7 linked regions of the Mus musculus genome follow. The protein of the gene in region 1 interacts with the protein of each later gene in a pairwise test. Links are inferred from orthologs where the notes say so. Each region holds a gene or a part of one and is shown in the gene's direction. Other genes may lie near its edges.

Region 1 (3,500 bases):
GGCCTCAAACTCAGAAATCCGCCTGCCTCTGCCTCCCGAGTGCTGGGATTAAAGGCCTGCGCCACCACGCCCGGCATAATGTTTATTTCTAATGTTAAAATTCTAATTTTACTGTTTTATGAAGTATAAATTTATTTTGTTTTAAATAGTAGAATAAATTCTATTGTCTTAGTAATTTTGATTTGTGACTTGCTGTCTTAGCCTTTTTATTAAAATGAAAAACACTGTGTTTTAGCCGGATGATCCTGCCCACTTCCAATCTCAGCACTTGGGCGGTAGAGTCAGGGAGACCTCCATAAGAGAGCTCCAGGCCATTCAGGGCTACCTAGTAAGACTTTGTCTTAAAATACAAAGAAAATTATGTACTGACTGTTCAAAGAATACAGCACCCAGTGTAATTGTAGATACTTTAGAAATGGAGTCCAGCGTGACAAAGTGAAAGGCATTTGATGGTCTTTGTTTTTATAACTGAAGCACACACACTCCTGGGGCCCCCGCGGGAGTGACTGAGATCTGTCACTGTGCTCTGTGAGGAGTGCACATGTGAGTGGGCTAGAGCTTCTGAGCGATTGCCACACTGTCTGTCTGTCCGTCCGTCTGTGCACGATGTTCTTTTCCTCAGGCTCAGTTCTTTTGGCTCCATCACCCTTTATTCCTTGATTGGTCAGCCACTGTGCATTAGCAGAACTTGAGTGTGCCCATGTCCCCAAATGTCCACATTTAGATGTCTGACGTCTGTCAGTTTTAACCTCATCAGTGATGGGTGAAAAGAGTTCATTTGCATTTCAATTATTTGACTGATGCCTTTTCAGATGTTTATATTTAATTTGTTGATATTTATATTTGAGTAAATTTATTTTTGTTACTATTGAGTTCTTTTTGAATGCTGATTGGATTGTCCCCTGTTCAGAAGTAGAAGCTGGACCTGCTGGCCAAGATAAGCCGGAGGTGATGGAGAATGCGGAAGTTCCCAGTGAGCTTCCCTCCAGCCTCAGGTGTGTCCTCCGCTGGGGTTTGGGAGTGTGGTCATGCCTAGGACAGTGTGGGGCTTCCTGCCATAGCATCCGCTGCCCAGTCAACACTTGTTCTGTGGCGTAAGGGATTATTTGTGCAAAGCAAGCGGAAACTACCTGTCTAGTTTTCTTGTACCTGAGTTGGAGCATTGTACAGTTTGGAGAAGTTCCTAGTAATGGGAAGGCCTGTGGTGCTCTGATGAATGGCAGCTGTGCCCATTGAATGGGGCTGGTGTTCCTCTGCAGAGAGTCTGAGTGTCATGCCGACCGTGGCATGGGAGTGAACACTAGTGCTGGCCTGCCTATTTGTCCTGTCCACATTGAGATTTGTGTGTGTTTCACAGTCTGTTTTTTTTCCTTCCAATATTTTTTTAGAAGAATACCTCGGCCTGGGAGTGCACGGCCAGCACCTCCCAGGGTCAAACGACAAGAGAGCACAGAGACACTGGTGGTAGACAGGTGAGGCTGCCTGGCCAGGGGGTTCTAGTCACAATGAAGCCACACTCCCCAGTGCTGGACTGTGGGATGCCAAGGTCTGGGCCTGTGCTGAAAGACTTGGTAGGGTGTAGTACTCAGTACTAGGAAAAAGAAAAACTTACCTTGAAGAAATAGAGGATTAGATCACTGCCTTAAACCACAGAGCAGCAAGCATTCCAGATTGGCAAAAGGGAGAAATACGTGTGTTCATGTATCAGATGCCTCAGAAAGCATGGGCCAGCACTGGCTGTGTTTCCCTGACCTCTAGATAGAAGACTGTCAAAGTGTAAAAAGGAAGAGAGCTGAAGGTGTAATTGTGCAAGAGTTAAACAACAGGTACTCCGAGCTGAAAACACGGCAGCGGTATTGGATAGAGGCGTGGCCCTGTGAAAGGGGTCGGTCCCAAGTCACGTGACCCACAGGGCCCACTTGTGCCACCCTTGGTCTATCTTAGAGTCAACGTCAGCAAACAGGGCAGAGCCAAAGGACTAGAAAGGCTGGGGTAGAGGGCTGGGGTGGCCTGGAGCTCTGGGCAACATGGAGGCTGTTGTGTGGGAGGTGATATTCTCCCTGTTCCCACTGTTCCCTGAGAGTTCCCTTCACCTGTCTGGGGCAATGGCAGTTCAGCTCCTTTCTGAGAACTGTGGTATTTCCAGATGCAAGGGGCTGACAACAACTGGTGGCTGATGGGTCGTCACTTCTAATGTAATGACTCTTGCTGCTTAGGTCGGGAAGTGGTAAAACCGTCTCCAGTGTGATCATCGACTCCCAGAACTCTGACAATGAGGATGACGAGCAGTTTGTGGTGGAGGCTGCCCCTCAGCTGTCAGAAATCGCAGACATTGACATGGTTAGTTTCCCCGAGGGCCCTGTTCTTAGGCACACGTTCAAAAGTGAGGACTTGGCTTTTCAGCTTATGTAGACACAGTTTCTCTAATTTTTCAGTGAGCTGTCTGGTTTCTTTGTGTTTTTGTTATTTATTTATTTTGAAGTAACAAGGCTTCCCTGATCTCTCTCCTTTCCGCTCAGGTGCCGTCAGGGGAGCTGGAGGATGAGGAGAAGCACGGTGAGTATGGACCGTGCTCTTGTCGGTGTGTGTGTGGGCTCTCTGTGTCCTCTGAAGATGCAAGTGGCCATCCTGTGCCACAGGGTCCTAGGAGGGACACTGTTGCTGCTGCCATGTGGGCCTGGGGGAGCCATAGAACCTGAGATCAGAGTGGACTCCAAGCATAGTGGCATCGTATCTTGTCTTTCCAAGAAACTGTGTCTATACATGCTTATATGCACACATGAACATGAGAATAGAATTTGTTATGTAGCCCAGGCTGTCCAAAACTCTCCATTTTCCTGCCTTAGCTTCCTCAACAATGGAATTCTAGGCATATGCCACATCCAACTCAGTTTTGGTTTTTATTCATGTAATTCTTCCTGTGGCTTTAAGGTTAACTGTCCATAGCCAGCTGCACTGAGAGGTGTACATTTGTTTTGTGGTTGTTGTTATTTGCGGCAGGGTACCATTGTGTGGCTCTGGCTGGCCCAGACTTCACTGTGGAGATCTCCTTTTGATCATTTTCTTGCTTCTGTCTTGTGAATGTTGGGACTATAAGTTTGCACCACCCCACCCAGTGCTGAGGTCTAAGACTTCTCCTTTGTTCTTTCTCCCTATATTCCTCTCCCTGATAGTGCAGGTGAAAATGTGACTGGGGGTGGGGGTGGGGGTGGGGTTGAGGGCTCATAAGAGAGGGCAGCTCATGATAGAATGTTGACTGACATTCTGACACTTCTCTCCATCCCCCTATTATCCACCGCTTCACTCCTCTTCCCGTAATGTTCCTAAGCCTTGGAGGGCGGATGAGGGGTGCGGTGTAGATGTCCCACTTGTGGCTGAGCTTGTGTTGACACTTTGGTTGTGAGTTTGCACATTAACCATCGTCTGTGCATACAGACATACAGACTTAGTGGGTAGTTTGATGCTATGTCCTTTTAGTAGAAAAGAAGTTTTCCTCTGGG
Region 2 (3,500 bases), on another chromosome or scaffold:
TCCTCTAAAACACCTTGAGCCGAGCTGAGGCTATAGCTCAGTGGAGAGCCTCACAAGAGGCTCTGGGCTCCACTCCGACATCACAGATTAAATATGCCAGGATAGATTATAGGAAATTTAAGAAGCTTGTGAGGGAAGCATGGATGGTAGAAGGCGGATCTGTCAGCACTTAATCATACCTCACAGATATACTTCCAATTCAGGTTTTTCCTCCAACAAATATTTATTGAGTACCTACTGAATGCCAGCTGTCATTTTAACCCTGAGGACACAGGGATTAACAGAGCAGATAAAATCCTCAAGAAGGTTAACTCCCCTCCCCCCAGAGCAAAGGAGATCTGTTTAGTGTCTCTCCAAACATACGTCATGGCATAGCTCCATGATAGAGCACTCGCTTAGCATGTCTGAGGCCCTGGGCTCATTTCTTAGCACCAAATTTAAAAAGGAAAAGTTAGAACGTAATACTTCATTTGCCTGATTAATATGAAGCAATCACTTGTTGGTGACACCAAATCCAACTCAGACTTTATTCGCACTTAACCAGACGTGACAGCGGTGCCCTTCACATTCAGTTAAGCCTGCAGTCTGGGCTCTGCCTTGACCTGGATTGACCCCAGTGTGGGAGGGTCACAGAGCCCTGGCACATATGTGAAGTGTAGCTCCAAGGCACTGACATGGTGTGTTTGGGCAAAGGCTCCATCTCTTGTGGAAATAATGTCTCTGATGAGTTCTTCCTCCTCCTGTCCATGCAGAAGACTCTCAGGTTACCAGCACAATATCCCCCTTACAGTCGCCACACAAGGGACTCCCTCCTCGGCCACCTTCATCACACAACAGGCCTCCTCCCCCACAGTCCCTGGAGGGACTCAGGCAGCTGCACTATCACCGTACCGACTATGACAAGTCACCCTTAAAGCCCAAAATGTGGAGCGAGTCATCTTTAGATGAGCCTTATGAGAAGGTGAAGAAACGCTCCTCCCACGGCCATTCCAGGTGAGCTACATTGGGACACCCAAATGAGGTCCCCGGATATGCTCAAACAGAATCAAAGGCTTGCCCCACATTAGAACCTACAAATATTGCCAAAGGATACTCTTTTCCTTCCTGGAACTCACAGTTCAGCTTTGCGCACAAAGCCCTCTGCTGGCAAACCCCCAGAAGTACAGATTTGTCATCTGAAGGTAGGGAGGGGGGAAGAGGGGAGGAAAGGGTTTGGCTCATAGTCAACCTGTTGGCAGATGGATTTAATGCTGTTACATTTCACAGGAATTAATTAGGAAATTGTAGCCAGCAGCATTCCAGAATGGCAAAGGAGAGCCGGATCTGAGGATCCTCAGGGTGGTATAGAACCCTATACGATCTTCCCGCAGAGTTCTGGAGCCAAGCAGCTGAAATGCAAGCTGCACACATTATCAGCTCATTGCTTGGTTAATATCAACGTCGTAGAGAGGATTATCTGGAAGACATTTAGGCCCGCTTCTGTTTTCCTCATGTTCCTTAATTAGCTCCAGAGGGTACCCTAGCAGGTACTGTATCTTGTAAAACAATGCTTGTTAAGGATGAAGGCTCCAGAGAATAGTCACCCTGTGCTTAACTTCGAGGAGTGGAGGGGGGGAGGTGGGATAGTGAGAGCTGGAGTCCCGGGCAAGCTCTCCCTGCAATTAGATCTACTGTCCCAAGCTAGTCAGCCCCTACCAACGCTGCCACATGGTATTCGTGTGATCAGCATGGCTTCCCTCTTCTCGCTTGCAGCAGCCACAAGCGCTTCCCCAGCACAGGAAGCTGTACCGAGGCAGGAGTAAGCAGCTCCTTGCAGAACAGTCCCATCCGAAGCCTCCCACATTGGAATTCCCAGTCTAGCATGCCATCCACCCCAGACCTGCGCGTCCGGAGTCCCCACTATGTTCATTCCACAAGGTGAGTCTGCTGGGCCTTTAGGCCACCTGCCTTTCTGGGCCAGACCCTGGTGTAGTAAGACATCATTGGCTCCAATCTAGCCCAGTTAACAGGGGAGCTAAGGTCCACTTTACCCTGGACACTCAATATAGTCAACTCTATCCATATCCAGGGACTTGTGGGGCCAGAGAGCCCCAGCCTTCTGAAGACAGGTAACAAGGATCCTAGTAGGAGTGGAAACAGGAAAACTAGCCCAGTTAAGGTGGGAGAGTGCAGCAGCCATAGACACCCCAGGCTAACCTTTGCTCTACCCTCCGTTCCTCATATATCTTTCTCATGAGGTCTAAAATCTATTCTGGACCCACTTTAATGCCTCAAGGTGTACATTTATAGTAACCAAAAGAAATGAACCGAAAAATAGACTTCCCTGAATCATATCCCTTCTCTAAGAGGTAAAGCTGCATCACAGAAGGTCACTGGTGAGGGTGATGTAGTACACTTCTGCCTGGATGTGGCCAAGAGTCGCTAGGAATTTGCATAAGACCTCCTATTGCTGGGTTCTATCACCTTCCTCTTGTTGATATTGATGGATTGGAGGCAAAGTCTTGGTACTACTGGTAGATAAGTGTATCGTTCATGTTTAGGGGTTCCATGTTTCACCAACCCTCCATTTTAGAATACTCACAAGAAACAGCCATTTAGGTACGTTGGCTTTCATTTCAGAGGAGTCTTTGGTTCAATCACGAGAGGACCTCTGTTAGACCTTTTGGTTGTTAGTTTTGTTTTTGTTTTTTTGTTTTTTATTACCTACAATCACTATTTTAAAGGGGTTAGTGTAATGCTTAGAACATAGGAATTTGCTTCTCTATCAATAGCATCATTTTCTTAAGAAGCAAAAGCCCTCAGACATTGGTCAACACATTTCATCCACTCCCTAGGTGCCACGTGGATTCCAGAGATTCTTAGCTCCCTTCCTCACCTGGTACCTAGGGAAGAACCTGGCTTTCCAGGGGCAACCTTGCTGGGCTCTCCCATTGGTAGAGGCCCTGAGCCTGGCCTGTGGCTTTTGTGGGACCCTTTGATCCAGGACTCTAAGACCAATCCTGTCTCCCCAACAGGTCAGTGGACATCAGCCCCACGAGACTGCACAGCCTTGCACTGCACTTTAGGCATCGAAGCTCCAGCCTGGAGTCCCAGGGCAAGCTCCTGGGCTCGGAGAACGACACCGGAAGCCCCGACTTCTACACCCCGAGGACTCGTAGCAGCAATGGCTCAGACCCCATGGACGACTGCTCGTCCTGCACCAGCCACTCGAGCTCAGAGCACTACTACCCAGCACAGATGAACGCCAACTACTCAACGCTGGCTGAGGACTCGCCGTCCAAGGCGCGGCAGCGACAGCGGCAGAGGCAGCGGGCAGCAGGCGCCCTGGGCTCAGCCAGCTCTGGCAGCATGCCCAACCTGGCGGCCCGCAGCGGGGCTGCAAGCACTGGAGGTGGCGTGTACCTGCACAGCCAGAGCCAGCCCAGCTCTCAGTACCGCATCAAGGAGTACCCACTATATATCGAGGGCAGTGCCACACCCGTGGTGGTACGCAGCCTGGA
Region 3 (4,111 bases), on another chromosome or scaffold:
ATCTACCGTCTCTCATCTGTGATTCCAAAATCTAGGAAGCAGCTTTGAAAACCAAAGTTTACCTTTGTAAATCATTTACCAGCAAATTGTCTTAATCTGATTGACTTCATGATAAAACCTGATTTAAACTGACACGAAGCTTTTTCTATTTTTTTTTTAAATCCCACTGAGTGCAAGTATTCACCTGTTTATTGTAAAAGCATTGCCATTTTGTTAGCAGATATCAGCACTCAGTCTCATTGGACCAATATAAAAAGTATCAATGGTATATTCTTTTTCTCTTCCTAAAATATACTTTTTTTCAAGGGTCTTGTATAAATAATAGACAACTTGAGTTGTCTCTGTGTTACATCTTGAAAACTCAAAGGTGCAGTAATTTCCCAGACCTCTGCACCCAGTAAGCCCATGGGTGAAGTGCTTCAGTTCAGACGTTCTTCCTGATGCAGCAGCAGTCAGTCGCTGGGATGCAGGGTGCACCGACACAGATTCAGAATCGCGACCAGTGGCTTGTCTAGGTCAGCAGTTGCAACCCATTGTTAGAAGGTTATCAAATATTTATGTCTTGAAAGTTGCTTCAAACCTTCTCCACATACACATCTGTTTTTAAAAACACCAACCTCTTCCAGGCTTGTATGTGTTGAATAATGGAGTCTCAGGTGGTGAGAGAATGCCACATGCATTGTTAAAAGAACTAATCAATAACAAGAAATAATATTTTTCTTCGTAGGTATGATTACTGATCTTTTTATAGATAAATTTAAGTTCAAAGGCACTAATGTAAAAACCAAAGTACCCATGCTCCTGGAGATTCTCGACAGCTACGACCAGAACACACTGATTTCTTTCTTCGATGCAGCATGAAAGATAAACAAGGTAGGCCAACAGGACAGCCGAAGAAGCAAGCAGAGCCTGATCAGACCCGAGGCACCTCAGATGGACGTCCCACATGTAATCAGAAGAGTGACGGCCTCTAAGCATCCCCCTACGAGTACCCATGAAAGTCCTTTTTATTGTGTACTTGAGGGGAAAAGAAGATCTTTTAGTCATTCATTTCAGGGGAATATTGCATTGAAAGTTTTAGAATACTATTAAATAAGAGCAAATAAGCTGTCTTTTGTTTTCAAAGGGTAGTTATGAAAACAATGATTACATTTTATTATATTTTATGTATGATTCTTAACTATTAAATGTGAACATTTAAGGTAATATACTTGTGTCTTTATATATTTATTTAGGTTTTGTATATATTTCTCTGTGTGTGTGTGTTTGGGTTGGTTTTTTTTTTTTTTTTTGTGGTTTTTGTTTTGTTTTGTTTTTCGAGACAGGGTTTCTCAAGACAGGATTTCTTTGTGTAGCTGACCTGGAACTAACTCTGCAGTCCAGGCTGGCCTTGCACTCAAGAGATCCACCTGCCTCTGCCTCCTGAGATGCCCGGAAAAGGCTTGGCCATCGCCTCCTGGCTGCCCGGTTTTCTTATGAACACTTTTTTTCTACTTTTGAGACATCATCTCACTACATAGCTGACTTGGACTAACTTGAATTCAGAGATCTGAAACTCTGGGATTAAAGGTATGTACCACAATGCACTTCATTTCTAAATGTAATATCTATTTGGGTCAGTGGAACTTCATGGTCTGATGTCACAACCAAGGATTAGCAAAATTAATGGACAGCTGAATTTCTTGTAGTACACCACTTGTTATCAACAATAGCTCATGTTGGCATTTTAAATTAACCCATCTTTAATTGGGGGTGGGGGTGGGGTAGTTTACTGGAATGCGGGGCATAGAGACACGCCTTTAATCCCAGATCAGTGAGCTCTGATAACGGATATCAGTGAGTCACAGGACAATTGGGACAGCATTATGAGACCCTGCCTCAAAATCAAACAACAAACAAATGATATACAGGAGAGGTGAAACAATAGTAAACAGTAAAAGTTCCAGCGTTTCCCTATGTTGTATGGCAGCATCACAGAGAAAGAGAAAGGAGTAGTGTACCCAGGACGGGGCAGTTTGTCATTCAGATCCATACGCTCCTGCCTAGGCGCCACCCAGCGACCAGGAGAAGGCGCTTCACCCCTTAGCTGAGGCGAAGGCCGACACCTCGAGGCCCCGAGGGCTTGTCTGGACCGCCCAGCGGCTCCGGCAGGATCCTATGAGGCTACAGATCCACTGAGCAGCAGAGATCGGCCGAAAGCGGCCGCCCGCCCCGCCCTCCTCTGCGCAGGCGCGTCCTCAGGCTCCCGCCCTGTAAGATTCCCGTCGGGCCTTCGCTCGCGGCGACCGGCGCTTCTGGTGACGTCACGGACTCCGGACGCCCTCATTGGTTTATTTCAATAGTCGCGGGCTACTTGAACTACAAGACCAGCAGCCGGCGGGCGGCGCGCAGCTCGCGGCTCCTGGGCTCTACGCTCCTCCCGCCTGCAGCCTCTGCTCCGCGGGTCGGCCGCCAGGGTCCCGCGCTGCTCCGGAGCGGCGGGCGCTGTGCACGCTCTGCCGCCGACAGAACCGGACCGGAGCCGCGATGCCGGGCACCTCGAGGCATTCGGGTCGCGATGCGGGCTCAGCCCTGCTCTCGCTGCATCAGGAAGACCAAGAGAATGTCAACCCCGAAAAACTGGCGCCAGCCCAGCAGCCGCGGGCGCAGGCGGTGCTGAAGGCCGGGAACGTGCGTGGACCCGCGCCGCAGCAGAAGCTCAAGACTCGACGGGTAATAGGGCGCGGGGGTCTGGAGGAGGGCCGGGCGGGAGCGGTCCTGGGTTTAGCAGCCCAGAGGGCCGGAAAGCACGCTGAGCATTCCAGGGGGAGTCAGGCTGCAGTCTTCGCGGTCCGGGCGTTTCTAGTACCAAATAGTCCCACGAGCTCTGCCGACCCGTGTAGACCGCCCTTCGGCACTAGTGGCGCCGCGTTCCAAAAAATGCCCGGGGTCATACCAAGCGTTGCCACTCGCGTGTCGACTTCCCCCAGCTGTGTACCTTTCCCTCCACTTTTAAAGCCAGGCATTGCATTAGGATGTAGATCCCTTCCCCCTCACCATCTGCTTCCCAGATTACTACTTCAGGGAAGGACATAAAGCAAGTATTCTTCGTGGTAAATTCCGCCATTTTAGCCAGACTTGCTGTTTTGCTCCACCCTGGGGCTAAAGTTGTGAATCAGTTCTTTGCCCTAACTTTAGTCTTTGATTAGTTTGGAATTCCAGTCCGTTCTATTTATAGCCTTTGTAGAAATGGCTGTGACAGATCGGTTTACACACCTTTACCTGGGCTTTGCCTCATGGACTTATATGTTTCTTAGAGTATTTGGAATTAAAAGCTGATACCCACCGGGCTAGAAGCAAAGTTGTATTGAAAAAGATTCCTCCTCTTTAGGTTGCTCCTCTTAAGGACCTTCCTATAAACGATGAGCATGTCACTGCTGGTCCTTCATGGAAAGCAGTCAGTAAACAGCCTGCCTTCACCATTCATGTGGATGAAGCAGAAGAGACTCAGAAGAGGCCAGCTGAGCTTAAAGAAACAGAGTGTGAAGATGCCCTGGCTTTTAATGCAGCTGTCTCTTTACCCGGAGCAAGAAAACCACTGACACCTCTTGACTATCCAATGGATGGCAGTTTTGGTAAGGTTGCTTTTTATTTTTACCAGTCTCTCTTCCTTCTTTCCCTCCTTTCTGTCTTTTTATTCCCCCTCTGGGTTTCTTGAGTATCCTTGACTGTCCTGAAACTCAATCTGTAGACCAGGCTGACCTTGAACTAAGAGATCCACCTACCTCAGCCTCCCAAGTGCTGGGATTAAAGGCATGTGCCACAACCACCAAGCCTGTGCCTTTTATTTTTGAGACAGGATCTCAACCTGTAGCTTATATCTTGATATTTTGAGTTTTAAGATTATGTCTTACCCGATCATACACAGTGAGTTAAGATTACCGCAATCTCATGACTAGTACTGACCTATGAAAGGACTCAAATCTTTAACCGGCAGGAGGGCACTGCAAACCAACATCAAGTTTAATTAGATCGTAAATATCTATCTTAATCTGACTTTATAAATGTTTGGCTAGGAGAATAGATTTCAGTTTTGTGTCTGACTCACTCCTTAACATGCCAGCCCTAAGAG
Region 4 (3,984 bases), on another chromosome or scaffold:
AGGTCTATATTGGTGCTATATTAAGTAGCATATCCTTTTGATGGCTTAATTGCTTTCAGTGATGGAACATGGAGGAAACGAGCTCCGGGAGTCTGACAGTAACACTACAATGCTAGACTGGTGAGCGACTGACCGCCTTACCTCAAAGCGGGAAAAAAATCAACTCCTCAACAAGTTTTAGCAAGTTCCTCACATACTTTGTGTGCAGTCCCATTTCCCCAGAATCAAGGAAGCACATAAACACGTTCTGCCAAATCAAAGAAACCCAAGTGACTAGGCTTGCCAACTGAGGAAGTCAAATCCGGAGCTAATCTATTCTTTTCCTCCTAAGAGCTACTTTGAGTCCTAGATGACGTCAGACCAGATTCCACCCAGACCAATTAGGTCCAAGAGTCCAATGGCAGGTGACGCCCTAGAAAGAAATTTCTGAGAGGATGAAGTTTCCACTGATAGTTTCAGGGCTCTTTCCTCAGGACTTCGCCTGTGGATAGAGGGGTAATCCTGGGGCTGGGGAACATACACGTGTCTCTATGGGAACCTAATGCGAAGCCAAGCAGAACAAAGCGCAAACGATCACGGTAGTTCAAAGACTTGGGGTTCTAAAGGAAGGACACGAGGTACGGCGAGGTGGGAAGGCTGATTTTGGCAAGAAAGGTCAGAAATCGTGGAAGCGGCTCTTATGTTTCACCCAAAGGCTCTCCAGTGGAAATGGAGAAACATCCCATGTCTCTCGTTGCAGTGTAGGCTGCTCTCCCGCCACACCCCTCCTCTTCTGAAAAACTGAGATCCGTGGTGCCTCCCATCCCCAGAAAAGACCTGAACTTCATCCCCGCGCGCCATCCCGTGCCTTTTGCCCAGGACTCAGCAGAGCCTGTCCTTCCCCTCTGCACCCGCACCTCTGGCTCTCACCGTCCGCGGGGACGCCTCTCCGAGTCTCAGTCAAGTAGCAAGCGGACTCGGTGCCACCTCTGGCCTGCGGCTGCCTGCAATCTCGGCTGTGAGCTCACATCCTGCGCCCGCCGACTCCGGAGTTACAGCCCAACCCTACAGATCGGGAAAGAGACTACAAGACCCGGCATGCACAGCGCGCGAGCTAGCAGTGGGTCGAAAACTTGACGTTTGACTTCCTTCTACTTCCGGGTTCGGGAACAAATCTACTTCCCGTGTCGTAGTCCCCGCCCCCTGAGCAAAGGCTTCTGGGCCTAGTGGGCAGTTATCGCGTGTTGCATCTATTTCCCAGCAAGCACCGCAGGGTGGGCGGATGCTGGTGCTTCTGGACTCGGGGGTGACGTGTGGCTCCTAGATCTTGTCTCCGTGGCAGCAGCCGGTTGCAGTTGCCGGAGAGAAGCTTCTACCGACAGTCGTCAGGGCCGCAGAGCGCTGCCGAGGCGGCTCGTCAGGTAGGTCGGGGACGTGGAGGACTTGGGACGGGAGGAGGCCGACGTGACCCAGCGCCGAGGATTGGCTGGACCGGGTGGAAAGCGGCGGTTTCCCTACCTCGGAGTTTTTAGGGATCGGGTTTACACTCAGCTCAGCCTGGCTCCCTCGATGTCACCGGTGAACCGAGGTTCGGACATTGCAGGAGTATAATTTAGTAAAGACAGCCGCGCCATTTGCCCAGTTCTTCCTGTGTCTACGCCTTCTCCAAACTCCACAGCTACAACTATTTGTTGTGCCTGCGGACCTGGGAGAGCCAGGGAGCGTAGAGCCAGGCACAGCCTTCATGCTTAGGAAACTCAATCCCACGTTCCTGGAGCATATTTGTGGTGGGAGTTAGGGGTGGGCTGGGGATCTGATAGCCCGCTATGTACCATATCTATCTTACCCATCTCTTTAAACTGTCCTTTCCAGCCATACTCTCGGTCCAATCCAGATCCATGGCAATCGTGTTTGGCTCCTTTCTTCACTTTTCTCCAAAGTGCTGCATTAAGCATTACTAAATTCTGTCAATTCAGACATCATCTGATCTCTGAACTCCCGTTCGGCTTCAAATCTTTTCTTCTGTTACAGCCTTCTGTTTCCACATGAATTCATTCATTCTGCAAACATTATCAGAGTGCCACTTACCTGCAGGCAGCCTGCTTAGAGATGCTTGGCTCACAGTGAGAAATTTGGAAAGGACGCCTCTATTCTGCTCTTCCCTGTTCCCTCTGTTTGGCCAAGGCAGTGAGTGATCTTTCCAACTCTGATCAATAAGCACTGCCGAAATCCACTGCTAGCGGTTATCATTATAAAAAATAATCCAAGTTCAGCTGGGTGTGGTGGCGCATGCCTTTAATCCCAGCACTTGGGAGGCAGAGGCAGGTGGATTTCTGAGTTCGAGGCCAGCCTGGTCTACAAAAGTGAGTTCCAGGACAGCCAGGGCTACACAGAGAAACCCTGTCTCGACAAACAAAACAAAACCCAAGTTCATTTACTCATCCAGCTATAGCCGGTTGCCAGCCTTGCTCCCTCTTGCTGTTTTGATCCCAGGACCCTTTGTGTCAAAATCTTCCAGCCTTAGGACGCCCCCATATGCTTTTCCCTATGCCCACAATGTCCCTCTCCCTTCTCTTAGAAGATTTTCTGGACGTGTTTAGGTCCCAGATTGTTTTTTCTGAAGGCTTTTGTTGACCTCTCTGCCTACTTGAGTTATGTCCTCCTGTAGAATCCTGACAGAGCACTGAGCGCTGTTCCTCATACCCTGATCACAGTTTGTGTTTATTTGCTTACTGTCTGTCTAGAGACACTATGTTCACTCTGTCCTTGGAGCTGGGATTCAATAAGGGTTTTTGTTTTTGATAAATGCATGTTAACTCAGAAGGCAGTAGGAGTTCAAACAAGTGTTTGCAGTCTCATGTCATATGAACTCTTCCATAGGACCTGGTCCAGTTAGTCCCTAGGAGCTCTTAAATACTCAAACTATCCAACTAGAACAACACAGGAAGGCAATTGTTTTTTTGTTTTTTGTTTTTTTGAGACAAGGGCTTGTGTAGCACAGGATAGCCTGGAACTCAGTATGCAGCCCAGGTTGGTCCTAAACGTGTGTCAGTCTTCTAGCAACACAGTGAGTTGCTAGAATTAGAGTCACGCATGACCATAGCTAGCTTTTAACTCTCATTTTAAAATTCATCCTTTTTGTTTTGTTTTGTTTTTCATTTCAGGGCATGCATTTGAAAAGCCTTTTTGGGACCTTAAACAGGGATTTATGACTATGCTTTTATCTCGCTCGCAGCTTAGGCCAGATACACCCAAGTGAACTGAAATTGTCTTTTCTCCTTGCTTAGTGATATTTCTGTAAAAATCACTTGATGCAATATAATCCTTCAGGTTCACGTGTCTGTTTTCCTCCAGCTAAGCTGTGCTGCTCCAGGGCAGGCACCATGTTGCATTCATCTTTACGCCCAGCATCTAGCAGTGTCGGCATGTAGTAGGCACTCAAGAAATGTATGTTGAATGAACGATGTCTGTGACAAGCAACTGGACTTTCCTCTTTCCTGACCCTTGCTCCTATGACATACCTCCTGATTGCCACTGTCACCCCTTCAAAGCAGACCTCTAGGGCTTCCTGGAAGGGAAACAGGTGAGGCTGAGAGCTGGAGGCAGAGGGATGGGTGTATGAGGAGGGCTGGGGTGGTGTCTGGGATGAAATTCAGGTCGCTGCTGGTTTCTCTGCAGCTATGGCCAAGGACATCTTGGGCGAGGCAGGGCTGCATTTTGATGAACTGAACAAGCTCCGAGTGTTGGACCCAGAGGTCACCCAGCAGACTGTGGAGCTCAAGGAGGAGTGCAAGGACTTTGTGGACAGTGAGTACCATCTGGAGACACAGTGTTGTTCTGCTTTGAGCAGTTTCCTTACCTGACCTTGGCCATTGTTCTTGGGTCTACCAGAATGAAGTTGCGTGCTCTCTGGATTGAGCCTGGTCTCTGGGTTCCCATGTGTACCCAACCTTCTCTGCTTGCCCTCTTACACTGCCATGGAGTCCCACATTTAGTGCCAAGCAA
Region 5 (3,500 bases), on another chromosome or scaffold:
GACTCCAAACTGCCTGTGGCACAGAGCCAGAAAACGAAGGGAGACACTCCAGCTTCAGCAGGTACTGGTTAGAGCCACTCTTTGGAAGGTGTAATGGGAGGAATTGTCTTAATGTCTGTGCATTTAAAGTTAGAGGAGTGGCTTTCCTTCATAGGAAGTCATCTGTTTTCCCCCTGTGGGTTTCAGTGGTTGAGTGGCCATAGTATTGAACTTTGATTAGCAGTTAACTTTAATCCTTGTTTCCTTTATTTGATACCCAGCCTTTTATTCTGTGTATATGTTAAGAGATATCTTTTAAATGAGAACTTTAATTCTTAAAACAACATTTGTCTGATTTTCCTGTTTTCATATCCATTTCATCTCTAAAATTGATTTTCCTCTTCCATCATTTTTGTTTATAAATTAATCTTTCTTAAAATTGTCGTTTCTGAAGTGATTTTTTTTTTTTAATGAATTCTTTTCTTGACACACTCTCTTTCTTCACTGTGAACACACTCTTCTCTGTGTTTGGAACTGTCATCTTTTTCCACATCTTTCATGTCTTCCTTCATCTCTGCTACTCTTCAGAATGGTTAGAGACCCTCTGCCAAATCGCTTTCTTGTCTCTCTCTCCTCCTTTGACCCAGACTCCTTTGTATTCTGCTGTTCTTTTTGATGTTACTGATGTTCCCTTTTCTGTGCTTAGAGTTAGCACTGTTTCTAGAAGCCTTTCTTGAGGTAAGAGGAATTAAAGTGTCTGTAGGCATGGAGAAGACTTTGTGTCAACCTTTGTCAATTTTCTGTTTCTGTTTATTAAACACAGGGCAGTAGAAGTATTTATATGTTTAAGTAGTACAGTGAAGAGCTCAGCAGTAGTTTCCTTCGTACAGGTAACAGCAGTATGAATATCATGCATAACATGTATTTATAGCATCTACAGGGGCAGCTCAAATTATTTCTGCAGCAGGTGATACACTTTCGGTCCCGGCCCCTGCAGTTCAGCATGAGGACACTATAAAAACCGAATGTCCCAACACTAATGAAGGAAAATCTACGTCTGAAACCACAGGTAGTTTAATTATTTATATTATGCTATAGATGTTTTGCTCACCAGAACTGTATTGCCTAGGCAGCCCATAGATAACTGGAAATACATACCTAGACTGTTTCCAGCCTTCAAACTTGCCTAGGGAAGATTTTAACTTCTAAGTCCAAATTGATCCATATGTTAAGAGTGAATCCCTTATTTTCTTTGGAATCCATGAGTTTAGAATCCTCACCACTTTTTGTTGATGTCACTGCTTTCTTTGTATCCCTGTTAGCTGTTAAAAATCTGTTGAAATTTGCTTTCCTCTTGTTCACTTTTGCTGCAAGAGGAAGCATTCTCATCTTCTGTAAGGGAGCGACCACCCGAAGAAGTTGCAGCTCGTCTAGCGCAACAGGAAAAGCAAGAACAAGTTGAGATGGAGTGTATGTAAATCAAGTCGTCCTCAGTGCTCTCTTCATCCATTAGCTAGCACACCTTGTGGTTCAGTAGCCGGTGGGGTTTCTTTGGTTTCCCTATGTCACTGCTTAGTTCCCACCATCATTTCCCCATCCGTGCTCTTTCCACGTAAACTGCTCTTACCCAGGTAACAAGCCCTCCTGACGGTGTGTTAGTGAACATTCCAAATCCACTTCATTTCTAGATGAAGCTATTTTAGAACTCCAGGAAACAGAAATGGATTATTTCAACCTTTAATGCTTATATACGTATGTATAGGAAAGAGGGTGTTCTGGTGTTGCTAGTTTTCAGCAAAACAAGTGTATTTCCTCTTACGTTTCAATACTGTGTGTGTGTGTGTGTGTGTGTGTGTTTAGGTTCACTCACCATGAATGTCTAGAACTCAGAAATTGACTTTAGATATTTCCTTGTATTGCTATTCACCTATTTTTTGAGACAAGATTGCTCATTGAACCTTAAGCTTGTTGTTTCTGCTAGACTAGAAGTTCTCAAGACCTGTGGGTCATGACCCCATTGGGAATCTCCATAAACCATCTACATATCAGATATTTACATTCTGATTCATTTTATTTTTATTTTTTTTGAGACAGGGTTTCTCTGTATAGCCCTGGCTGTCCTGGAAATCACTCTGTAGACCAGGCTGGCCTCGAACTCAGAAATCCGCCTGTCTCTGCCTCCTGAGTTCTGGGATTAAAGGCGTGCGCCACCACTGCCTGGCATTTTAATTTGAATTTTAATTTTTTTGGTTACATTCTGATTCATAACGGTAGCAAAACTACAGTTTGGTTGGGGGTTACTACCACATGGAGAACTGTATTAAGGGGCTGCAGCATTAGGAAAGTTGAGAACTCCTGGGCTAGACAAGCCAGTGTCTTGGGATCTGCCTGATTCTCTACCCCAGCACTGTGGTTATAGATGAACTTGCTGCCATGCCCAGCTTTTACGTAGATGGTGAGGATCTAAACTCCAGTCCTTACGCTTGATCAGCCTTTTGCTCACAGAGCCATCTCCTCAGCCTGCTATTACATAGATACTCCTCTTGTACAGGAGATGTAGGCTGTCATTTACTGTTCTATGTGCTGGGTATTAGTGACTTTGGAAATAATGGGGTATAAAGAGCTTTTTGCTAAACAGGAAGTTACTTTCTTTTTTTTTTTTTTTTTTTTTAAAGTTTTTTCGAGACAGGGTTTCTCTGTGTTGCCCTGGCTGTCCTGGAACTCACTCTGTAGACCAGTCTGGCCTCGAACTCAGAAATTCGCCTGCCTCTGCCTCCCAAAGGAAGTTACTTTCAAATTCTTTAGCAGCTATTATGAATTTCCTTTCTGGCCACATCACCTGTTCTCACTGCTGCTGCATCTGGCTGTTTCCTTGGCACCTTATTGGCTCTACCCTATGCTAAGGAGCTGCTGTTATGAGAGGGAGTGGATGGGAAGGAGCCTTAGGTCTAGGGCATTCGTGGAATTGTGTGTGGTGTCTTATTCTTGGTCTTGTTATAGATAGTTGAAAATGTTAAATAAGTTAAAAAATCCTCAGTGAAATGTTTTTGCACTTTCTCATTTGTCAGTAATGTTACTATTCTTCCTCCTTCCTTCCTTCCTTCCCTCTCTCCATCACTCCATCTGTCTCTGATACATTTTGCCGTGTGTAGCTCAGACTGTCTTTGACCTGTATACACCGTAGCTCAGGATGGCCTTGACTTCACAATCCTTCAGGCTCAGTCTTCTCAGATATAAGATTACATGTGGATTCATGTTCTCTACTCAATTTCATTCTTCTGACATGAGTTCCTTGGTTTAAGTTATAAATTGGAGATGCAGAGTCTGCTGCTTTAGCTGGTCTCTTTGGGGTTGGTCTAAATTTTCTTGATTTGGTTTAGGTAAACTGAAAAAAAATTAGCATCTTTGCTTTTGCCTCTTAATTTTTCTTTAAGCCTTAGAACTATGTATGCATGTGTACTTTTTTTCTTTTTTTAAATCAAAGATTAGAGCATAGTCAATAGATGTCCAAAAAGGATAAC
Region 6 (3,500 bases), on another chromosome or scaffold:
GTCAATACTTGAGCATATAGCAATTCTGTACATTTGGTTTGTCGTTTGATTTACATTGGGGTTTTTCTATGTATCTTTACCCCTTGTTAATGATAAAACTATCAATGAAATTGAAATGAAATCTTCCCATGATGCATATTTTTCAACAAATACATTTGAAAAAATTTTGTGAATAGTTCTTATACCTGGTAATGTAGAAACAGTATGAAATCTAGGTGTAAGTCCAGTGTTTCCTTAATTATTACATTTTTATTTCAGAAATGAGCATGCTATGCCAGCTTCACAAAACTCATAGGACATCAGTTAGGAAGAGACAATGAATAGTGTAAATGGAAAACTAGACATGGGCTACTTTAATCTACTCCACTTATTCAAATTATTTTTTAATAGTACTCTGTAGACCTTCCTTTCTTAATTGACTCAAGAAATACAGTTTCAATCTAAACTTGAAAATATATTTCACTTCTAATGAACTCATATTTTAATAGATTCAAGAAAAGGAACTTATGGGTTTTAACAAATCAGTAAATGAAGCACGTTCAAAGATGGAAGTTGCTCAGTCAGAACTTGATATCTATCTCAGTCGACATAATACAGCAGTGTCTCAATTAAGTAAGGCGAAGGAAGCCTTAATTACAGCTTCTGAGACTCTCAAGGAGAGGAAAGCTGCAATCAAGGATATAAACACAAAGCTCCCTCAGACGCAACAGGAACTAAAGGAGGTAAATTACTTCTGTATTTCATCTGCATCGTCATCTCTAGAGTTATATGTGGGAGTTGTTTGTTTTGTTTTTAATGTCCAAGTTTAAAGTGGTTGTTATAAAAAAATTTTCTTAATATACTCTTGAATGAGGAAACATTTTAATATTTGAATTTAGTAATAATTAGCTGGACTTATAAATGTGGGTAGGGAGGTTCTATAGCATGTACAAGGCCTGGGTTCCATCCCTAATACATCCCAAAAAAGAAAGAATGGGAGTAGAGTCACTATTGTCTCCAAACACAAATAACCACTGCCACAGTCCCATAGGAATAATTAAACATTTCTCAGGCTGGATATGAAGCTCAGTTGGTAGAGTGCTTACCTATCCCTAGCCAGGAATGTCAGTGTGCCTATAATCTTAGCATTTGAGAGGTTGAAGCAGGAGATCACTTTTAAGACCAGTGTTAGTGGGGCTGGAGAGATGGCTCAGCGGTTAAGAGCACTGACTGCTCTTCTGAAGGTCCTGAGTTCAAATCCCAGCAACCACATGGTAGCTCACAACCGTCTGTAATGAGATCAGATGCCCTCTTCTAGTTATTTGAAGATAACTACAGTATACTTACATATAATAAATAAATCTTTAAAAAAAAGAGAGAGACCAGTTTTAGCAACATAGTAGATTCCACACTAGCCTATTTTCTCCCTCCCAAAAAAATGTTTCTCTAAATAGATAAATGTGGGTAACTTATATAAACATACATGAAAAGTAACAAAGTTTTTAAAATTTCTTAGTTAGACATCCCCACCACCTCCCGCCACCTGGTTATTTGAGGAACTGGAGAGGTGGCTTAGCAGATACAAGCATTTGCTACTCTTACTAGTTCCCAGCACGCGCATTGGGTGGTTCATAACTACCTGTGACTTCAGCTCCAGGGTTTCTGATACTCTCTTCTGGACTCCAGGGAAACCTACACCTACACCTACACACACACACACACACACACACACACACACACACACACACACACACAGAGGTATATATAGTTTAAAAATAAATATTTTTAAATTTTAGTAAATTTATACTGTTTGATCATCAGGCAGTTTCCTGATGTGTAAAATTTAAATGTAAATTAAATTATATCCAGTAATTATTTCTAGTGATTTGTTTTCTTTTGGGATTGTTTTTTATACTTTAAGCTTTTACTCTGACTGGGTCATAAGTAATAGAGGAGAATAACAGTTAGAGAAAGATGGCTGTTTCTAAATTGGGAATTGCGAAACTAAATTTGGGTGTATGATTCTTCTGGTTGACAGCCATTTCCGCCATCTTTTCCATCTCTGTTTAGGAACTATACCTTTTTGTTTTGTTGTTTACTTAGCCAAAAAGACAACAACCACAGAACTGCCCAGCTACACTTACCCTGGAATCCATTTCCTGGATTTGGTTTTGTTTAGGGCAGAACTTGAGAAAAATCTACTAGGGTTTTTATATCCCTATACTTAAAGAGATCTGGGTTTCCTCTTTTTGAGCCAAATAATTTATGCTTCTTTTAAAATAGGAGACACTCATCCGAATGTTTAAAGCCAGGCCAAAATAGCACTATGGAAGCTCAGTGTTACTTAGGGGCCTCACTTATTATTGTTGAAACAGTATAAATAGTTTTCTGCTGCTCTGTAGTGTAGTAAAGATCAAATGCTTGTACGTTTCATCTTCTCACTTTTAGAAAGAAAAAGAACTTCAGAAACTGACACAAGAAGAAATAAACTTAAAAAGTTTGGTTCATGATCTTTTCCAAAAAGTTGAAGAAGCAAAGAGTTCCTTAGCAATGAATCGAAGTAGGGGGAAAGTACTTGATGCAATAATTCAAGAAAAAAAATCAGGCAGGATCCCAGGAATATATGGAAGATTGGTAAGTAGATTTACGTTTTACTCAGAAAAGTCCTAAGAGCCAGGGTCTATATGAGCTCTGATTAGCCTTAAGCCAGCTGTAGCTAAGGTTGACCTTGCACTTCTGATCCTCTTCGGTCTTCCAAGTGCTAGGTCGGCGCTTGGCACTATACAAGAAAAGTTTTTTCAAAAGAGGGGGTTGGAGGGAGACAGGCAGGCCATGGTGATGCATGCTTTAATCCCAGTCCTTGGGAGGCAGAGGCAGAATTCAAGGCCAGCCTGGTCTACATATTGAGTTCTAGGCTGACCAGAGTTACACGGTGAGACCCTTTCTTTAAAATCAGTTTTAGGATGTGGTGCAATATTGCTTAGAGATCTGTTATCCTGTTAATCACCATGGCTGATTTGACTGATCTTACTAAATAAGCTTGTGCCTATTCTCTGTTTCTCCCTCACCGTTCAAAGTATGTCTTTCTTGAAGCTGCACAACTCATTCTAACAGATGACCTATCCATTTGGAAGAGGACTGATTTTTTTTATTTTTATTTTTTAATTTGGTCAAAGGTGTACCAAGTTGCTTTCCTTGCTAGGCCCAGACCAAAAAAAAAAAATTAATATAGTCTAGGTTTCATAACATACTTAACATTTTGGTTATGGTTTCGGGAGGTAGACTAATTTAGAACTCTGGTAGTACTAGTTTGGGGGATCTATACCTTTCTTAGCCTTAGCATGGAAGAATGCTATATGATTTAGAATGCTGTAAGTATCTCTATTCTATTCATTTCTTGCCCTGCAACCATAACTGAAACCTGAACCCATACAGTTGATGGTTCCCTATCAGCCTTCTGAAAAAAGAAACAATGATCTGGAAGGACAAATAGAATTTAACCAGCATGGTTACATCTATAT
Region 7 (3,500 bases), on another chromosome or scaffold:
CCTTTCCCATCATGCTCTCTGCTGTGCTGACCTGCCTGCCTTCTTCCCTCCCTCCCAGCTCCCAAGGCCTTGCACCTGAGTAGTTTCAAGTGTCCATCAATGTATAGACACTGCAAAATGATCCAATGGCCTTTTCACTGCGGAGTGGTTACCATCACACTCTGGCATAATTTTAACAGGGTAGGGGAAGACAGCCCAGGGGGTCCCTGGGGAAAGGCAGTGAGCACAAACGTTTGTGCAATCTCAGGACTTCCTTTCCTTCCTGCGAGGCTCTGTGTGTGTGGCTGCATGGGTCCCAGAGCCTGGCTTCTACAGAGCCTAGCTTCTACTTTGCCAGGCTCTCACCTGCCGCGCCCTTCTCAGCCTGTGTCCACCCTCTGTCATGTGCTCCTGCTGTCCTGCCTTGGCACGCTCACTCAGCCATCTCATCCCCATGGGGCCCTGGAGCTGTGGGTCGGGCATGGGCTGTGGCGTACAGTGGACGGACGGGAGTGTCCAGATGGATGGCGCGTGGACAGGGCCATAGCAGAGCTGCAGGTTTTGCCACTTAGAAGACAGGGAGATGCCGGGCATTGTGGCACACACCTTTAATCCCAGCGCTCGGGACAGCCAGGGATACACAGAGAAATCCTGTCTCGAAAAACCAAAAAAAAAAAAAAAAAAAAAAAAAAGGAAAAAAGAAAACAGGGAGATGGAAGAACCGGCTAGAGCCACACACTGCTAGAGCAAGGAGGTCCCTTGACAGGGCCTTGATTGTCCTTTATTCTCTCTTCTCCCAACCCCCACGCTCCTCTGGGTGACTATTTTGGGTCACCGGCTTTTCTTCTGGGCTCTCCCGTGCGGCTCACTCCGCAGCTGGTACGTGACAATGCAGATCTGCGTTGTGAGCTTCCTAAATTGGAAAAACGACTTCGGGCTACGGCTGAGAGAGTTAAGGCCCTGGAGGGTGCACTGAAGGAGGCCAAGGAGGGCGCTATGAAGGACAAGCGTAGATACCAGCAGGAGGTGGACCGCATCAAAGAAGCCGTGCGGTACAAGAGCTCCGGCAAGCGGGGCCATTCTGCCCAGATCGGTGAGTGGATGTCAGCTGGTGAGACCGCATCGCCACCTGAGGCAAACGCAGCCAGTCCCTAAGTGCCAGACCACTCAACGCTTGCTTTTAGTCCCCAGCCTTTCCACCAGAGGATGACGCTGTCAGTTTGTGGTTTGCTGGGGTTGACCTTGGGGCCAGGTAGACTCGGGTAACCGATGATAGCTTTCTCACGGTTGTTTCTTCTGTTCTGTAGCTAAGCCTGTGAGGCCTGGCCACTATCCTGCCTCCTCACCCACCAACCCCTACGGCACCCGGAGCCCCGAGTGTATCAGCTACACCAACAACCTCTTCCAGAACTACCAGAACCTGCACCTGCAGGCTGCGCCTAGCTCCACTTCAGATATGTAGTGAGTGACGTGGGTGTGGCCGCAGTTCCAGCCCAAGGCCATCTGGGCCCTCTGAAGGCATTAGGGTGGTGTCAGCTCTTGGTTCCTTTAAAAATGCATTTCCTGAGTCCCGTGGTTTCTAACCCTTTTCGCGGTCTTCTGGGTCGTGGTTAGGAGGTGGGTGCTTTCTCCTTGTCGCCATGATTGGTGGCCTCTGTTGCAGGCATAGAAAGGGTGAGTGACCGGGAGGAAGGTGGGCATAGTGGCTCTCAGAATGGTGGGCTGCATCTGTATTCTGCTCCTTCCAGCTTTGCCAGCAGCGGAGCCACATCTGTTGCCCCCTTGGCTTCCTACCAGAAGGCCAACATGGACAATGGTAAGTGATGAAGACGCAGGATTCCCAGGGAAGATGAGAGGTGTTTACAACAGACACGAACAGAACCTTCCTCTCACTGGAGGGTCAAACAAAACGATACTGTCAGGGAGAGCTCGTGGAACAGCCTGTGCCTAGTGTGGTTTCTGCCCTGCATCCCATTCCTGGTACAGCTGGGGAGGGAGGGGTTGTACCGGGGTTGGGTACGATTCATGTGGACCAGCTTTCTCCTAAGGGCTTGCTTAGGTCTCCAGCCAAACCCACTATTTTCTGGAGTGGTGAGGGTAGAGTGCCTCAGTTTACCAGTTCAGAGGCATGGGCTTCAGGATGGGAGGGGTTGTGAAGACTGTTCCTCACGCCAGCTTTTTTCTAACCCTGTGTTCTCATCCCTTCAGGAAATGCCACAGATATCAACGACAACAGGTACTCAGACTTGGGGTCTCTGGGCGGGACCCAAAAAAATCGAATAACACTTCTCTAAGAGGACTTCCCTGGAGCTCTGGGGAGGAGGGAAGAAATGAGGCAGGAGATCCAGGCACTCCCATGGGTACTTTCTCCGTACCTCAGGGAACGTTCCGACCTTGGGCAAGGCCTGAGGTTCCTTAGGAAGCCTGCATCCTTCCTGCCCTCACCCGCCCTTCAGTATCTCAGGCACGCTGTCAGAGTGCTGGCCGCAGTGGGGGCAGAGCTGTTGACAGGCTGTTTCTTCCTCCAGGAGTGACCTGCCGTGTGGCTATGAGGCTGAGGACCAGGCCAAGCTTTTCCCTCTCCACCAAGAGACAGCAGCCAGCTAACTCCCAACCCTGGCCACATATCTGCACTTTCAGGTAGCTGCAGGCCACTTCCCTCCCTAGCCCCAGCCTCCTCCTGTCTGGCCATGGCTGCTTCTCCTGTTCATGTGTATGTGTATATGTTTGTATGTGTCTGTATGTGTGTGTTGTGTGTGCATGAGTGTACCCACATCAGGAGGCCAAGGTTAGTAGGTGTGGGTGTCTTCATTTGTGTGTGTGTGTGTGTGCGCGCTCACATCCACAGGCCAGCCTTGGTGTGGGTGTCTTCCTCTCTCACTTTCCATCTTACTTTTTGAGGTCTCTCACAGAACCTGGAGCTTGCTGTTTTGGGGTAGACTGGCTGGTCAGTCACCTCCCCACCCTCCCTCTGTCCCACCCCACCCCCCATATCTGCCCATTTCTGTCCCCTGGGGTACTGGGGATCCAAACATAGTCCTCATGTCTGTTCAGTAAGCACTTAGTGACTGAGCCAAAATCTTCCAACTCCTGCTTGGCCCTGTATGGCTGCACGAGGCAGAGGCAGGGAGATCATGAGTTCAAAGGAGTCCTGGATTCATGAGACCCTGTATCAAAACCAAACAGAAACATTTGCTAAAAAGCCCAAATCTCATTCATAGCCAACCCTGACCTCCCATGGCCCCAAGCCTTCCCTTAGGTGCTGGTGGTAATCACAGTACTCATTTCTACCACTAGGGGTCACTGTCATACATTAAAATTTTTGTTAAAGGCAAGGGCTGCTGTCCATCGGTCTACTACCTTGTGCCTTTACCCTAAAATAGCCTTAAAATAGCCTTAGATACACAGAGATGTCTAAGCCACCTCGTGTAAAGGTGATGTCTGCACTACTCCTGGATTGACATATGCTGCCAAAGACTCTCGGTGTCTCTAGCTAGAAACAACAGTACGGTCAGTAAAAA

What was found.
Region 2: the proteins of Traf3ip1 (region 1) and Frmd4a interact in a two-hybrid assay, tested with the Homo sapiens proteins (2 studies listed by BioGRID and IntAct). The link is inferred for Mus musculus from reciprocal best matches to the Homo sapiens genes TRAF3IP1 and FRMD4A.
Region 3: the proteins of Traf3ip1 (region 1) and Ccna2 interact in a two-hybrid assay, tested with the Homo sapiens proteins (2 studies listed by BioGRID and IntAct). The link is inferred for Mus musculus from reciprocal best matches to the Homo sapiens genes TRAF3IP1 and CCNA2.
Region 4: the proteins of Traf3ip1 (region 1) and Ift20 interact in a two-hybrid assay, tested with the Homo sapiens proteins (2 studies listed by IntAct). The link is inferred for Mus musculus from reciprocal best matches to the Homo sapiens genes TRAF3IP1 and IFT20.
Region 5: the proteins of Traf3ip1 (region 1) and Immt interact in a two-hybrid assay, tested with the Homo sapiens proteins (2 studies listed by BioGRID and IntAct). The link is inferred for Mus musculus from reciprocal best matches to the Homo sapiens genes TRAF3IP1 and IMMT.
Region 6: the proteins of Traf3ip1 (region 1) and Smc4 interact in a two-hybrid assay, tested with the Homo sapiens proteins (2 studies listed by BioGRID and IntAct). The link is inferred for Mus musculus from reciprocal best matches to the Homo sapiens genes TRAF3IP1 and SMC4.
Region 7: the proteins of Traf3ip1 (region 1) and Kif5a interact in a two-hybrid assay, tested with the Homo sapiens proteins (2 studies listed by IntAct). The link is inferred for Mus musculus from reciprocal best matches to the Homo sapiens genes TRAF3IP1 and KIF5A.

The regions. Positions count from the first base shown.
Region 1 is NC_000067.6:91,518,668-91,522,167, forward strand, and holds part of Traf3ip1 (TRAF3-interacting protein 1), read left to right. Parts: intron 1-910; coding exon 911-995; intron 996-1,388; coding exon 1,389-1,472; intron 1,473-2,216; coding exon 2,217-2,340; intron 2,341-2,519; coding exon 2,520-2,556; intron 2,557-3,500.
Region 2 is NC_000068.7:4,600,363-4,603,862, forward strand, and holds part of Frmd4a (FERM domain-containing protein 4A), read left to right. Parts: intron 1-752; coding exon 753-993; intron 994-1,752; coding exon 1,753-1,917; intron 1,918-3,014; coding exon 3,015-3,500. UniProt on the Homo sapiens protein: Scaffolding protein that regulates epithelial cell polarity by connecting ARF6 activation with the PAR3 complex. Plays a redundant role with FRMD4B in epithelial polarization. May regulate MAPT secretion by activating ARF6-signaling.
Region 3 is NC_000069.6:36,570,239-36,574,349, reverse strand, and holds the start of Ccna2 (cyclin-A2), read left to right. Parts: upstream 1-1,311; 5' UTR 1,312-1,569; intron 1,570-2,046; 5' UTR 2,047-2,526; coding exon 2,527-2,712; intron 2,713-3,370; coding exon 3,371-3,614; intron 3,615-4,111. Other genes in the region: Bbs7 (Bardet-Biedl syndrome 7 protein homolog), read left to right, coding at 728-861. UniProt on the Homo sapiens protein: Cyclin which controls both the G1/S and the G2/M transition phases of the cell cycle. Functions through the formation of specific serine/threonine protein kinase holoenzyme complexes with the cyclin-dependent protein kinases CDK1 or CDK2.
Region 4 is NC_000077.6:78,535,177-78,539,160, forward strand, and holds the start of Ift20 (intraflagellar transport protein 20 homolog), read left to right. Parts: upstream 1-1,184; 5' UTR 1,185-1,400; intron 1,401-3,333; 5' UTR 3,334-3,562; intron 3,563-3,657; 5' UTR 3,658-3,659; coding exon 3,660-3,786; intron 3,787-3,984. UniProt on the Homo sapiens protein: Part of intraflagellar transport (IFT) particles involved in ciliary process assembly. May play a role in the trafficking of ciliary membrane proteins from the Golgi complex to the cilium.
Region 5 is NC_000072.6:71,851,820-71,855,319, forward strand, and holds part of Immt (MICOS complex subunit Mic60), read left to right. Parts: coding exon 1-61; intron 62-910; coding exon of another isoform or gene 911-943; coding exon 944-1,048; intron 1,049-1,353; coding exon 1,354-1,449; intron 1,450-3,500. UniProt on the Homo sapiens protein: Component of the MICOS complex, a large protein complex of the mitochondrial inner membrane that plays crucial roles in the maintenance of crista junctions, inner membrane architecture, and formation of contact sites to the outer membrane.
Region 6 is NC_000069.6:69,021,738-69,025,237, forward strand, and holds part of Smc4 (structural maintenance of chromosomes protein 4), read left to right. Parts: intron 1-488; coding exon 489-722; intron 723-2,427; coding exon 2,428-2,613; intron 2,614-3,500. UniProt on the Homo sapiens protein: Central component of the condensin complex, a complex required for conversion of interphase chromatin into mitotic-like condense chromosomes.
Region 7 is NC_000076.6:127,228,864-127,232,363, reverse strand, and holds part of Kif5a (kinesin heavy chain), read left to right. Parts: intron 1-855; coding exon 856-1,072; intron 1,073-1,286; coding exon 1,287-1,440; intron 1,441-1,727; coding exon 1,728-1,795; intron 1,796-2,187; coding exon 2,188-2,215; intron 2,216-2,507; coding exon 2,508-2,586; 3' UTR 2,587-2,619; exon of another isoform or gene 2,620-3,314; intron 3,315-3,500. UniProt on the Homo sapiens protein: Microtubule-dependent motor required for slow axonal transport of neurofilament proteins (NFH, NFM and NFL). Can induce formation of neurite-like membrane protrusions in non-neuronal cells in a ZFYVE27-dependent manner.